Linked DNA regions of Arabidopsis thaliana. The protein of the gene in region 3 interacts with the protein of the main gene of each other region in a pairwise test. Each region holds a gene or a part of one and is shown on either strand. Other genes may lie near its edges.

Region 1 (4,162 bases), on a different chromosome or scaffold from region 3:
ATTTATTATCACTTATCAGCATTCAAGTCCAACTTTTTACTTCAAAACAAACAAAACTAGAAAATCCAATTCAATCAATTTTATTGGAGCATTTAAGTTAATCTCAAGTAGTTTAAACTTGAAAGAGTTGGATTCACAACTTATTGTATACACGAGAAAAAATGTAACAAACGATATTCCAAAAAAAAAAGTCAATTAAAGTGAACTTATCAGAATAACATTGTTCTTCATCATGTTTAAAACCCCAAAACAAAATCCAATTGCAAACACCGGTTTCTCAATGTACATCTCTCAAAAAAACATAGTAAACGACTGTACATAATGAAAATGGGAACTCTTTCTATGAACCATCGAAGACTCCAAGTATTCTATTACACTGGTTAGGGAGTTGAAAAGAAGTAAACCATAATGTGTCAAATCCGATCCAACATCAATTCCGTTAGCGCTTAAGAAGTCTTTTTGCATCTGCAATATCCTGCAATATAACAATAGCACCAAAACAAACTAGTACATAATCAACATTAACAACAGCTAGGAGCAAAAGCACTAGTCAAGAACTTAATTTAACCTTAATTAACAATTCGAGTTAACAAAGAAAGAAAAGAGTACTGAAAGTACCCGCTGCAGAAAAACTGCTTCTTTAGGAGAGGTAGGGAACTGCACTAAACCGATTCCAACAATTAATAGCAAAGGACACTACAACGTATATAGGTAGCTGGTGCAAAGATATACATTATTAATATTGACTAACTGAGAATAGCAATAAGCAAAAATGAGCACAACAGACTCATTACTAACCAACTATGTTTGGCTACGAGCCATAATTGCAGCCTGCAAGAGAGCAAACTAAAAGGCAGAGACAGCTACCAGCAGGCTCAAAATCTTGACCACATGCTTCATTGTCCTTGAAACAAAGTTTATGTAAGATTTGAGTATTGACAATATACCAGAAAAGAGGACTACACTAATGCATTTTCCGATTTCTTGCATATTTGGAGCTGACCATGAACGGGTGCCATTAAAGGATATCTATAGAAGTGAATTCCTTCAAATAACAAATTGCCAATTCTAAATCCATTACGCATAATTTCCACACATCTTAAGCAACTTATGTCCAGACCAGAATCTAGCATAGTCATGATAACTAAAAGAACAGTAAAATGCAACCCAAACCATCAAAATGGGAAAGGAAAAAAAAACGACTTTTCACATTTTCTTGGATCTCATAATACAAGCGGTCAGGAGCTCAAAGCCCTTTAAGCATAATTTGTAGAACCTGAATCTTAAAAAAAAAAAGAAACACAAATACATGATTTCCCACCGTTCCTCAGGATTTTAAACATTCTATAGTCAGATCCTCAGGAAATCAAAGCCATTACACAACACATTTCAGAACATTATAGGCTAAATGATTTGAAAACTTGAATCCTAAAATTCATTAAGCTGCCCCAAAACCAAGCTTCTACTAACAAAACAAACTACAATTAACCATCCGAATCAAACCATGCACCCAAAACTCGAATTGAAATTTGATATATCTAACAATGATTGAGCTGCCATCAGAATGAATTATTAGAAAATAATTTTGTCACGGTTCCTTCAGACCAGAGTAAACTCCAATCATCCGAAACTCAAAACCCTTGCGCAAAATTTTCAATCATCATTTGGCAACTTATTCAATCAAACCAACAACGAAAATAAACAAAAGGTTACATAAAACTAACCAAGCCTATGTTCTAAAGCAAACGAAATCAAAAAATTCAAACAATCAATAAGATGCTCCACTATTTGCGGGAGAGATGGAACCTTTAAGCTCACAGATCTCGCCGCCATTCTCAATGTTTCTTCGGCTGTTTTAAATAGTTGTGTCATTAGGGTTTTTATTCAGGTCTTAAAATCATGGGTATAATCGTCAATTTCACAAAATAAGCCTTTGTCCTGGATAAGCTAAACCAGTTTCCAAACAAATCTTGCTTCGATTCACAAATTATTACGATTGCAATCCCTAATTTGGAAGTCCCGGTTCCTCTTTCGATCAAATCGGAGAATTTCACGGCATGGCTACGGCTGTTGGTGGCGGAAGCGATGTGGAGGTTGGATTTGCGAAGCTTCAAGGTGAGGATTTCGAGTACTATATGCAGTCTTACTCCATTATACTCGGCCGGAATTCTAAGAAAGCCACCGTCGACGTTGATCTCTCATCCCTCGGCGGTGGGATGAACATCTCGCGCAACCACGCTCGGATCTTCTATGACTTCACTAGACGACGCTTCTCTCTCGAGGTCCTTGGCAAAAATGGCTGCCTCGTTGAAGGTGTTCTTCATCTCCCTGGGAATCCTAACGTCAAGCTCGATTCACAAGACCTTTTGCAGATCGGAGACAAAGAGTTCTACTTTCTCCTACCGGTTCGGAGCATCTTAGGCGGGCCGTTGGGACCTAGGCACCACGTCTCTGGGCAAACAAGTGTTGTTCCATACCATAATTATCAGTCGGGTCCAGGTTCTGGGTCGGGTAAGAAGGGCGTCAGGAGTAGAGAGTTGTATGAGTACGATGATGAAGATGATGATGACGACGACGATGAGGAGGACGATATGAGAGGAAGTGGAAAGAAAACAAGGAGAGATGGACATGAAGTAGTATATGCTTCCGGAGGTAAAACCAGATTGCTCATGATTGTTTGAGTTTTCATTGTGCAACTAGATATGTTTCAGATTATGATGCTTACTTGATCACATCAGGCTTGTTTCTTTAGACTTTGATTGTGGTGGTTGCTGATTGAACCTTGTTAGACTTGGATTGAATTTGAATGCTAGTGACACCACGACATTGTATCTGCTTCATTTGTGCAGAGAAGAAGAGAGAGGGAAGATCAAAGGTAGATCGTGAAGCTGATGATCAACAATTTTTGCAGCTGGAGGAAAAAGATGTTGTATCGTCTGTTGCCACTGTGCTTTCCGATTTGTGTGGTCCGGGAGAGTGGATGCCTATGGAAAAACTTCATTCGGTGGTTAGTTTTTATGAGAAAGTTCCTTGCCTTTTTCTAATACAGAATGTAGTACGAGTAATCAATTGAAACAAGACTTGTATAATGTCAAGGTGATAATTAGTGTGAAGCTAGGTCCTTAATTAGTTTTCCAATGGAAACGCGCTACGCTACTTATATGTGTCTAAGTCTAGAAAGTATGTCAGTTACTCCATAGATTTTGAATGACTAGTGTAGTCTGACTATGAACTTCTTTGTGATTCAATATGATGGCTAATGCATGGTAGTGGTTGGTCTGTGACAGATATTAAAGGAGTATGGAAACGTATGGCATCACAGTCGAGTAAGAAGATACCTATCACAAGAAGACTGGGCTATCCCTGAAGCAAAAGGTAAACCATGGTACGGTTTGCTGATGCTGCTGAGAAAATACCCGGAGCATTTCGTCATCAACACGAGATCAAAGGGAAGAGTTACCCTTGAATTCGTTTCCCTCGTTACCCTACTCTCATGAGAACTTTACCTTAGTGACTCGGATTAAGATTTAAGAAGCTTTTCTCTCTTTTCTTTGTTTCATATGTAAAATATTTTGGCATTGATTAGTAACACGCTGTGTCGTTTTTCTGCACCCAAAAACGCCAACTTCTTGGTCCTTGCAGTTGAGAGATTTTGATTTTCTTTTTCTTGATTCTTATTTTTGATAAACCCATCGAGATTTTTCTTTCATCAAAGGGCAAAAAATTCGTGCCAATTCAGAAATCGTTATGTTCGGTGGATTTGGGCCATAAAAAGAGAAAAGGCCGAAACAGAGAATGATCCAAAGTGGCTCAAGTACGTATCCAGACAATATAAAAAGGTTGGAATGTGCAAACTTAGGGTTATACTCGTATCTTGTAGCAGCCACTAAAGCAAAATTCTGAGATCGAAAAAGCTATATAAAAAAAAAAAACTGCTTCCGTTTCATCGATTTTGTCCAGATCTTCCCCTTCTTCCGGTAATCGAAGCTTACGAGATAGTTGAGTGAAGATGATCTATGATGTGAACTCTGGTCTATTCAGATCCTTCCTGAGCCAGAAGGGTAGCTCGTCCGACAAAAGGTACAAAATCTTGTCTTGTCTGATCCAAATATGAGATTATCTCGATGTTGTTCCCAGATCTATCTATTGATGTGTCATTCTT
Region 2 (5,189 bases), on a different chromosome or scaffold from region 3:
CGTTGTGAAGAAAAGCTTCAAAACTCTTTGGATTTAAATTGGTAGTTTCAAATACATTTTAAAAAAGAAAAAAAGAAGAAGAAGATACTCCTAGTAGGAGAAGTAGCTAGCGGTCAAAAGGGTCAAGAAAAAAAAAGAAGATTACGGAAGACGAGGAGGGGCACACGTGTGAGAGATGTGGTAAAAAGTGTTCTGCTGCAAAAATTCTGAGAATGTTAAAAAAAATTTAAAAAACCTTTATTCTTTTTTACTTAACACTTCCCAAAGTCTGAAATCTGCTCGTGTGGGCCTTTGCCTTTCTTTTTCACTGTCAGGCCTCCCCACGTGCGCCTCTCTCCTCCTCATTCCCTTTCTCCTTTTACTATTTTTTATACATTTATATCTGTAATGCTGAATTGCTGATATGTAGCTCGATAATATTACAAATAATATAGTTTTGGATATCTCCCAATAGTTATTATTATAAACTTTTATTATCGTAATAAAACCTCTCTATTTGTAGTTTGTTTCTTGCAAAAATTAAAAAGCATAACAAAACCATATGTACGTACCAAAGATTGACAAAAACTACTTCATGAACAGTAAGTTAGTTTTCAACTTCTTGGACAGAAATTTTTTCAATATAAAGGTAATCAGAAAATACAAACTTAAAGAAAGACACCATGTACAAGTCTCATAGTCATAGATATACAACAACTGAAACATGAATACAAACAATTTTGAGTTTTATCTAATGACTAATGGTACCAAAGCTCAATGGAGCTTGGTATTGTTGAAGCTTCAGTTGATTTCATACACCATTCTCTCTGAAAGCTCAGCGCCCACAACCTTGCGGTAGCTTTGTAACATCGGTTCCAGTTGCTTCCTGCCTACGGGAGTTATGATCTGCCGCATTTCCTTCCAAATCCATTTTTTTTTGTTTAGTTGTCATCAATATGAGGAGAGTTTGATAATGCTCAATAAATACCCAATTAGCTATGATAATTCAAAAAGAAACAAAAAAAGAAGAAGAAGTTTGATGTACCTTGTATCTATATTGGGATCCATAAAGACCGATAAGGATGTTGTTAATGTCGTTATCTTTGGATCCAGGGTCTGACTCAATATGAGAGTCCTCTGATTCAGTCTCATACATTTCCTCATCATCATCATCATCATCATCATCATCCTCATCCTCATCTTCATCCTCATCACTGCAGCCCATAAAGTTATCATTCGTCTCCCCTTGTTCCATGTCTTCATGTTCACTTGCTGCTGGTTCCACGAGAGTTTCAGAAGCACCAGCTAGTAAAGAACATTGATTATGTGAAATAGCAATATCGGACAATATGACATATGGCTTTTTATCAAGCATCGGCCTTGCTACTTCAAATGGAACCCACCTGGAAACACAACTCCGAGTGTTAAAAACTTACATTTACCAGTCTCTTCACTTCAATGACATGTCTAAGAAGAGGACATAAATATCTTTTTACAAGTACCAGAACTTCATATGAGAGGAGATCAATGATAAACTAAGGCATAGAGTAAAAAAATATACGACTCAGTTTGGTTGTAACTTACTGGAAACGGAGAGGACATAGAAGCTCAGATGGACGATAGGCTGCTTTATATCTCATCTTGCTGCAGGAATGTATATAATAACCAAGATAGTAATACTGAAGAGAAGGGCAGCGAGCTTGGTTCTCTATAACCCAATTAATTTCTTGAATGGCAGAATATTTTCCGAGCGATAAGAATGCATAGTCTGGATCCCAGAATAAGTATACACTTGACAAACATTTAGGAAGAATGTCTACAACCCCGACGGCAATTAGGCGGCCATCAATTCTATATTGTTGGTGGAAAGAGCCGAAGCCACAAGGCGGAACCTTTTCATCACCTGAAGGTTGAACATCTATTAAAGGAGAGTCGACCAAAAACCTTCTGTATGAACTTTCTACAACGTGCCCTGGCTTATCATTGTGCACTTTCAGCTGATACCGTTTGTATAACTCATGTTCTTCAGGATCAAAACTAGACCTTTTCAAATGTATCTCCAGCTTTCGCTTTCTTGCCTGATGGTTTTCTGAATCCTTCTTAGCGTGAAGGGTTTCACTTCCATCTAAAGAATTGGCTCCTCTCGAGATGTTACCATTAGGTACAACATCTCTATCAGAAAAAGAATCTTTGGCAGATGAAAGGAAATTGATATGGCCCTTACAGACTTTGATAGACACATCAGGAGTTTCCCCCACCTTATGCATTGCACTCAACAACATCTCAGAAATAGTTTCAGGTGATAATCTATTTCCTTCTGCACTATTTATCCCCTCTTTCTCAGATGTCTGGATGCGTTTTATTGCAGCTGCTATTGGAAAAGCAATGTTGCTGGTGTATAAGATTTGTTCTGTTCCTTCAGCTAGTTTCTTTCTTCTAGCACAGAAAACCTTCTTCACTGAAGCTTTTGGTATCTGCATATTAGACGGGAATTCCCCACTCCGTATGCATAATTGCACAGCTTGGTCAATATTTTTAGACAAATCATCCATAACTGCTTCAACTTTCTTATTCTCTTCACTTTTAGCAGCTCCAAGTGTTTTTCTCCTTGTATCTGAAACATCACCAGAGGAAGAAGCACCTCTTTGTTCCCTGGGCTGCACATCTAGTTTGCCATCCAAGAACCTTTGACAAAACATTATTAAGAAAATTCAGGAAGCTCTTCAATGAACGACTTCATTAGAGAAATCTGAAGATCGTGAAGAATATTTACACATCAGAATCATAGATCTCTCCTCATATGCATGTTTCAAAGGTAAAACCTTTCCGACTAAGCCAATAACATGAAACAACTAACACCACAAAAACTTTCATCTATTGATCCAAAAAGAGAAGCAAAGTGAAGCTATATGCACCTTTCTAGTCTTCTAGAAACTCGCTGCTGCTCTTTAGTAGGAACAAAATCACTTGCTTTCAAACGTATCGTATAAGGAGGGCAACACGTTTTATCCATCTCATGTTTGTAAAGATAAGTACCAGATCTTCTCCAGCCTCGGTCAATAAGAGCTACAGAAAAGTAAAGCAAAGATACATAAAAGATCTCTATTCTGTCAACAAAATTGGTTCATCACACATAGAGTCCAATAATAGCAACAAACCTTGGTAGTCATAAACGGTAAGAGTCTGTGCTGATAAACCTGCATTGACATTCACTATGTTTATCAATCATTTATTCATTGGAACTTTAAGATCATAAACAAAATCAATTCTTATCAAGCATATGAGCAATTCGAGAAGATTCTACTCTAATCGATCGATTCAACAACCTAATCCGTAAGAAAAGCAAAATTAAACGAACCGTGAGAGATACTGGACCGAGCTGGGGATTTACAGTAGCCGCAAGTGCTTTTACGGCGGCCATGATCATCGATTACGCTTTCTCTGTTGCTTCCACCGTCGTGGCTACTACTCGCATCGTTTTTCAAAGACATAATCGCCGATTATTCATTCAGAAGAATTTTGCTAAGCTCTTTCCGTTTGGAGAAGAAGACATAATCTTCTTTCACATTTGACTTTTTTTTTCAATATTAAAACATTGTTGCTGACTGTTATGCAATTGGCAAAATGAAGGGGTTGTTATGTAATTATAAATATTTTAAGGGAAGAAAATGAAAAATAAAAACATTTTGGGGCAAAAGATAAACACGAAAAAATAATGGAATCGATAAACAGATTTTCGATAGCATCGGCAGATTTGGATCAAAACCCTAATTCTCCAGTTCAATCTTCGGAAGATGGCAAGCCTGTGGCGAGCAGTAATCGGCGGTCAGAACAACAATTCCGAAGACTACGGAGGCGTAGAGTTCTGGTCAAACCCAGAACGAACCGGCTGGCTCACGAAACAAGGAGAGTACATCAAGACTTGGCGACGCCGATGGTTCGTGCTCAAACAAGGGAAACTCTTCTGGTTCAAAGACTCCGACGTCACGCGTGTGTCACGCCCTCGCGGTGTCGTCCCCGTAGAATCGTGCTTAACCGCTAAAGGAGCAGAGGATGTACTCAACAAGCAAAACGCGTTCGAGCTATCGACGAGAAATGAGACTATGTACTTCATTGCTGATTCGGAGAAGGAGAAAGAAGATTGGATCAATTCCATTGGACGTTCCATCGTGCAAAACTCCAGATCCGTTACCGATTCTGAGATCGTTGATTACGATAACAAACACTAAAGTTTCTCTGTTTTTGTCTTTTGTCAAAGTGATTATGATCACAGCTTTCATTGATGGAGTCTTAAATGTAAATCTTACAAAATCAAGAAATGAAAAGCTTTGTCTCTGCTTGAAAACATGAACTCATATCCGAAAAACATATAATATAAAACCTAATTCTTCAAGGGCAACGCTTCTGGTTCAAAGACTTATATGGTTCTTCAAACATGTACTTACCAAATATGGTAACAGAAGCAATACCTTTTGCACGTGATCAAATACAATAACTTCGTCGTACAGACTAAGATGCATGTATGGAAAGTTCCTCTCGTCATTAAGTGTCCTAAACCCTACCCGCTTCCATTCAGGGCCGGGTCTGGAAGGAACAACAAAATACCTAAAACCCCTCTCCTCTTCTTCTTCTTCCTAGTCCGACACTCTTAGAGTCTTCAAAAACATTGCAAGAAGGAAACAAAATCCATCTTCTTCGTCTATTAGAAACCCTAACTTGAGAATGTAAGTATTGATTTCCCACAACAGTTTTCTTTTTCCTTTAACTAATTAGGTTTAGCAGAAAACAATCAATGTAGGCAAGTTATTTTTTTTTGTTTCGGCCTTCTGTAAATTACAGGTCTTGGATAATCGTTAAGAATCTTCCTTCCAAACATGTGACAGAGGAACGACTTCGAGATGTCTTTTCACGAAAAGGAGAAATCGCAGACGTGAAATTGAAGCGTAAAAGGTACATTCAAATCGAGTGTTTTTCACAGCTAATTCTTGTGTCACTATATTTCGTTTTGCTTTTGCAGTGATGGCAAAAGTAGACAATTTGCTTATATTGGCTTTCGTACTGAACAAGAAGCTCAAGATGCTATCACATATGTTAACAAGTGTTTCATTGATACTTATCGAATATCTGTTGAGGTTATTAATCTTCACTTAATTACTCAGTTTCACTTATGTAGTACTAGTTTCAAATCTAAATCAGATTCTCCTTGGTAT
Region 3 (4,197 bases):
GATAAACTTACGAATATATTTCTACAAAATATCTTATTTTTAGAAGAGCTATACTAACTAATGCAGCGAAGATAAACGAAAAACAATAGTAAATTTGCGGGTACCAAAATGAGAATCGTCGAATCTATTTCCTATACAACAATTTATTTAATACGTAAAAAAAGACGTCGTTATCCTAAATATCTAAAGCTAAAGAGAGAGTCATTAACCAAAAAAATGTTCTTTTGCTAAATGTTGTAAAATCTAAGAGTTGTATAAAGGTTATTTCTAGTTATGTATTTAAATTGTTACTATTTGTCATGATAATTTTAAAATTCAAAGAGTTTATAATATTAACAACAAATAGATATATAAAATCATATTTTCAAAATTTTCAATAAAATATTTTAGTCACACAAAAAACTGTTAAATTTTTTACAAATAAATCCACGCATGAGTTCATAGCTAGTAAATAAATAAAGAAACAACAATGTTACCAAAAAAAAACTGGTTAACGTATTTTCTAGAATTAACATGTGATGTGTATTTTATTCATTAAGCATCTCCTTAGTATATAATTATATAAATATAAATTTACAAATAAAATAATACAAGATCTTTACTAATCTTTATGTGGAAAACAAAAAAAAAACATAAGTAAAACAAATTTATGTGGATAAGAAACGCCATACGCATTCACGTATTATCTTGCCATGTTAGATATGATTCTCAATGTTACAAGAAAACATTTATGGTAAAATAATAAAAGTTTAGATCGCAGACAATGGACCTAAATGATCCCATAATTCATAGGATAAGTTTTCATTCTTGTTTCGAGCATGTTTAATATTTCCACTAACTGTTTTGCCCTCTTGATCTCTACATTCTCATCAAAGTTAATTAGTTCATAATACCATAAACTATTAGTATCCTCGTTCTCTTCTGCATGAAGATAATATTTGAAACCGATATTACATTCGCTGCACTATATATGGATTTGTAGGTTAACTCTAACAAAATCCAAATTACTCTAAAATACTACACATACGGTCCTACAAATTACTAATTAAAACCAGTATACTACTAAGATTAAATGATATGCTATAAGAATTTGGCTCGCCAAAATATAAACTAGGAAGAAATAATGTGGGGATGATAAATTACTAAAGCCTCACTAAAACTCAAATATGTCATCATATCAATCAATATATGAGTGTTGAGATTTGCCGTAGATATTATCTTCCCCCACCAAATAATTGTACCTACACTACACCCCAAACAAGCATATAAGAACAAGTTAATTTAGGTTAAGCAAAGCTGACAAAAGATTAGAGGGAACCATCTCTAGTAAGCTTAGCAAGCAATGCATTGATAAGTGAATCCCTCTTCTCTGCTCTCATCTCCTCCCTCGACCGCCGTTGCTCCTCTCTATCCCGCCACATCCGCTCCATTGCCAACCTCTCCTTCTCAAGCTCCTCCATCTTCCTTCTCCATTCTTCTTCTTTCTCTGCTCTTTCCTTCTCCCTAGCCTCCCATCCTTCTCTCCACTCGCTCTCCATTCTCACTTGATGTCTCATAAACTCTTCCAACACTTCTCTTACACCATTATTGCTATTACTACTATTACTACCGCCTTTTCGCTTCTTTGCAATGTTCTTTTTCGGATTTAGAATTTTTGGGTCGTTGCTGACATCTACTAGCTCTTCATTCACATTCTCTTCTTCCTCATCTGAAGAATACTCTCTCTTTCTCGCTGCCCCGCTTGTTCCCCCTCCTCCTCCCTCGGATTCAGCCCATAGCATTCTCTGCATTCTAGTGGTAAATATATTTTGCATATCATCATAAAAAGGGAACTGTTGTCTCGCTGTCTCTGCCTCCATTGTCTCACATCCCTAGAAACATCAAGCAATACATCACCAATGAGATTGTATACATATAATTAAACTACTTAGCAGATTATGGACAACAAGATTCAGAAATATTTACAATGGTGTTTGTCTATATGTCCCGGAAAGATTATGGACTATAAGATTCAATATTTCTTGGTTACAAATTTTTATTTATTTATTTGTTCCATGCAAGACCTCCAAGATTATAAAACATCCACAAAATGAAAGAAGAGGGAGAGAGAGAATAGACCTTAAAACGAGTGACGAGGTTCTTCCACTTGCACTTGCACTGTTCAGGGCTACGAGGAAAGCTTTTGTCTCTCATCTTGTTAGAGATAACTTCCCAAAGAAGCTTGTTCCGTTTTGTCTCCATGAAAGTTTGATCTAGCTCTCCTCTTATCCCTATCAACTCTTTTGTCTCTTCGACGCTCCACTGTGGAAACCTATCCCCAACAGCTACCGGAGAGGCTATTTCCGGCGTTTGCGATTGAGTATGAAGATGATGCTTGTTGAGATATTGAAGCTGGTGAAGGTGATGATGCTGATGTCCATCCATATGAAAGAATCAAGAAGAAGAAACTATAAAAAAAAAATAAAGAAAAAAAATCACCAAACGATCTCTAAAGCAAAGATTTTGAAGAAGCTTTCACTTTTTCAGATCGAAAAACAAAATATTTCTTGTTTTTCTTTATCTTTTGGTTTTTGTGTATTTGTAATGTGAAAACGTTGGAAGAAAGAAGTCTAATTTTCTTTGATCGCAATTCTTTTCTTCTTCTCCACTCTCTCTTTCTCCTGTCGCCATCTGTCTACGCGTTTACTTTTTTCTCTGTCTTGGATTTTTTCTAATACAATTTACTTTTTTTTTGTGTGTCTTCTTTTGACAAAATATTAAAAAGAAAAAAGCTTTCGGCAGATTTGTCATTTCATTTCTAATAGTATATAATTAGTTAAAATATCGATTGAAATGGTATTATAGAGCAAAGGATAATTAGCGTCTTAAACTACCAGTCAATTCGTTAATAAAAGATATGTTGACTGGTGATCAGGAGAGATGTGGATATTTCTATCGTTATCTCATAATGTAATCACTTTCATTTGACAAATAGTATTCTAGATTCTGACAGTCGACATATTTGTCAAATATGTGTATGAAATGAGTTTATTACTGAGTTGGTTTGGTAAAATGGTAGGGATAATAAATTTAATTAAAATGATGATAATTTTTTATATTGCTTTAAATATAAAAAACAGTAAAATATTAAAGAGAAAGTCAAGTCTTTAAATAATATAATACAATTTTTCTTTTGTCAAAATAAATTAGAGTGAAAGTGTAAGAAAAACATAGGTGAGTGGTAAATATTTCCTATTGAGTTATAGAGCTCTTTATGTATTTTCTGTTTAATCTGCTTTTTCATTCATACTATAATGAGGAATCAAATTGATGTGACGATAACATTGCGTTGAGGTTTCATCATCACCGCGAGAAGTTTCGGTTTGTATACTTTTTGTAATAATACTGTGTGGTTATTAATTCTCGGCGACCAGTCATATCCTTAGCTTCATGCCCAAGTTTCTATTTACTACTTTGTCTTTGTTTATTTTTCCCTTTTTCAACAAAATTCGATATTTTTCTAATTTTGAGCACCTTTTTTAAATACAAAACTAGGTGACTTCTCTAGAATCTCTCGTTTCCTAAATTCCTTCACGTGTTATTCCTTGTATGGTTATCAAAATAACAAAAGTGTTGGAATGATTTCTTCATTCACGAAATGACAAATTATAGTGTGACACGTGCGTGGAACTAGCCAGCTAGGAACAACATTCTAGAGATGTGAAACTTGTTAGGCCAATTTTGAATTTTTTTAAAAGCATGAACATGACAAAAAAAAGCATGTGCCAAACTAATTCATTTTCAACTTAAGGTTTATTATGGGTTGGCAGCCCAAACCCATTCTACACAGTTTGGGCCCAATTTGTCTTCGAGTGATGTACAATTTGGCAATTGGACTCACATAAGAACAAATTTTGTGTAACCCCTACAATAGATGAAAACTGCAACTCTCTTCTAAAGTAAAGGACTAAAGTCAACCTAGTCCCTTAAATGAGGTTTGGAAAATTCTTTGTCTGCCTCGTTCACTTTTATTTTGCCTCGTTTTATGTATCTGTTGAAGGAACACCACTTGGTTGATTATGGTACGAAAAACATGTTATTTGGACTTTCACCAAATTTATGTCGATATAAAAAGATCAGTACAAATTTGTTATTGATTTTATTTTTAGAGGCTACATTTCCTATGGTTTGTGACCAGACTATAGCTAGCTACAATTT

The links. Proteins that work in one complex are often made in the same cells at the same time.
Region 1: the proteins of AT2G38250 (region 3) and FHA2 interact in binary tests that used the Arabidopsis thaliana proteins (3 or more experiments, as listed by UniProt).
Region 2: the proteins of AT2G38250 (region 3) and ATE1 interact in binary tests that used the Arabidopsis thaliana proteins (3 or more experiments, as listed by UniProt).

What each region holds. Positions count from the first base shown.
Region 1 is NC_003074.8:2,295,911-2,300,072, forward strand, and holds FHA2 (SMAD/FHA domain-containing protein), read left to right. Parts: upstream 1-1,975; 5' UTR 1,976-2,057; coding exon 2,058-2,652; intron 2,653-2,849; coding exon 2,850-3,007; intron 3,008-3,287; coding exon 3,288-3,497; 3' UTR 3,498-3,662; downstream 3,663-4,162. Other genes in the region: AT3G07230 (wound-responsive protein-like protein), read left to right, coding at 4,010-4,080. UniProt on the Arabidopsis thaliana protein: May play a role in the control of plant organ development and specifically in the regulation of stamen development. Does not show transactivation activity in yeast.
Region 2 is NC_003076.8:1,712,170-1,717,358, forward strand, and holds ATE1 (arginine-tRNA protein transferase 1), read right to left. Parts: upstream 3,563-5,189; 5' UTR 3,471-3,562; coding exon 3,338-3,470; intron 3,177-3,337; coding exon 3,138-3,176; exon of another isoform or gene 3,046-3,137; coding exon 2,895-3,045; intron 2,665-2,894; coding exon 1,564-2,664; intron 1,383-1,563; coding exon 1,025-1,382; intron 898-1,024; coding exon 781-897; 3' UTR 501-780; downstream 1-500. Other genes in the region: AT5G05710 (Pleckstrin homology (PH) domain superfamily protein), read left to right, coding at 3,774-4,208; AT5G05720 (RNA-binding (RRM/RBD/RNP motifs) family protein), read left to right, coding at 4,702-4,703, 4,819-4,929, 4,997-5,111. UniProt on the Arabidopsis thaliana protein: Involved in the post-translational conjugation of arginine to the N-terminal aspartate or glutamate of a protein. This arginylation is required for degradation of the protein via the ubiquitin pathway. Component of the N-end rule pathway with ATE2 and PRT6.
Region 3 is NC_003071.7:16,016,611-16,020,807, reverse strand, and holds AT2G38250 (Homeodomain-like superfamily protein), read right to left. Parts: upstream 2,599-4,197; 5' UTR 2,425-2,598; coding exon 2,119-2,424; intron 1,872-2,118; coding exon 1,308-1,871; 3' UTR 652-1,307; downstream 1-651.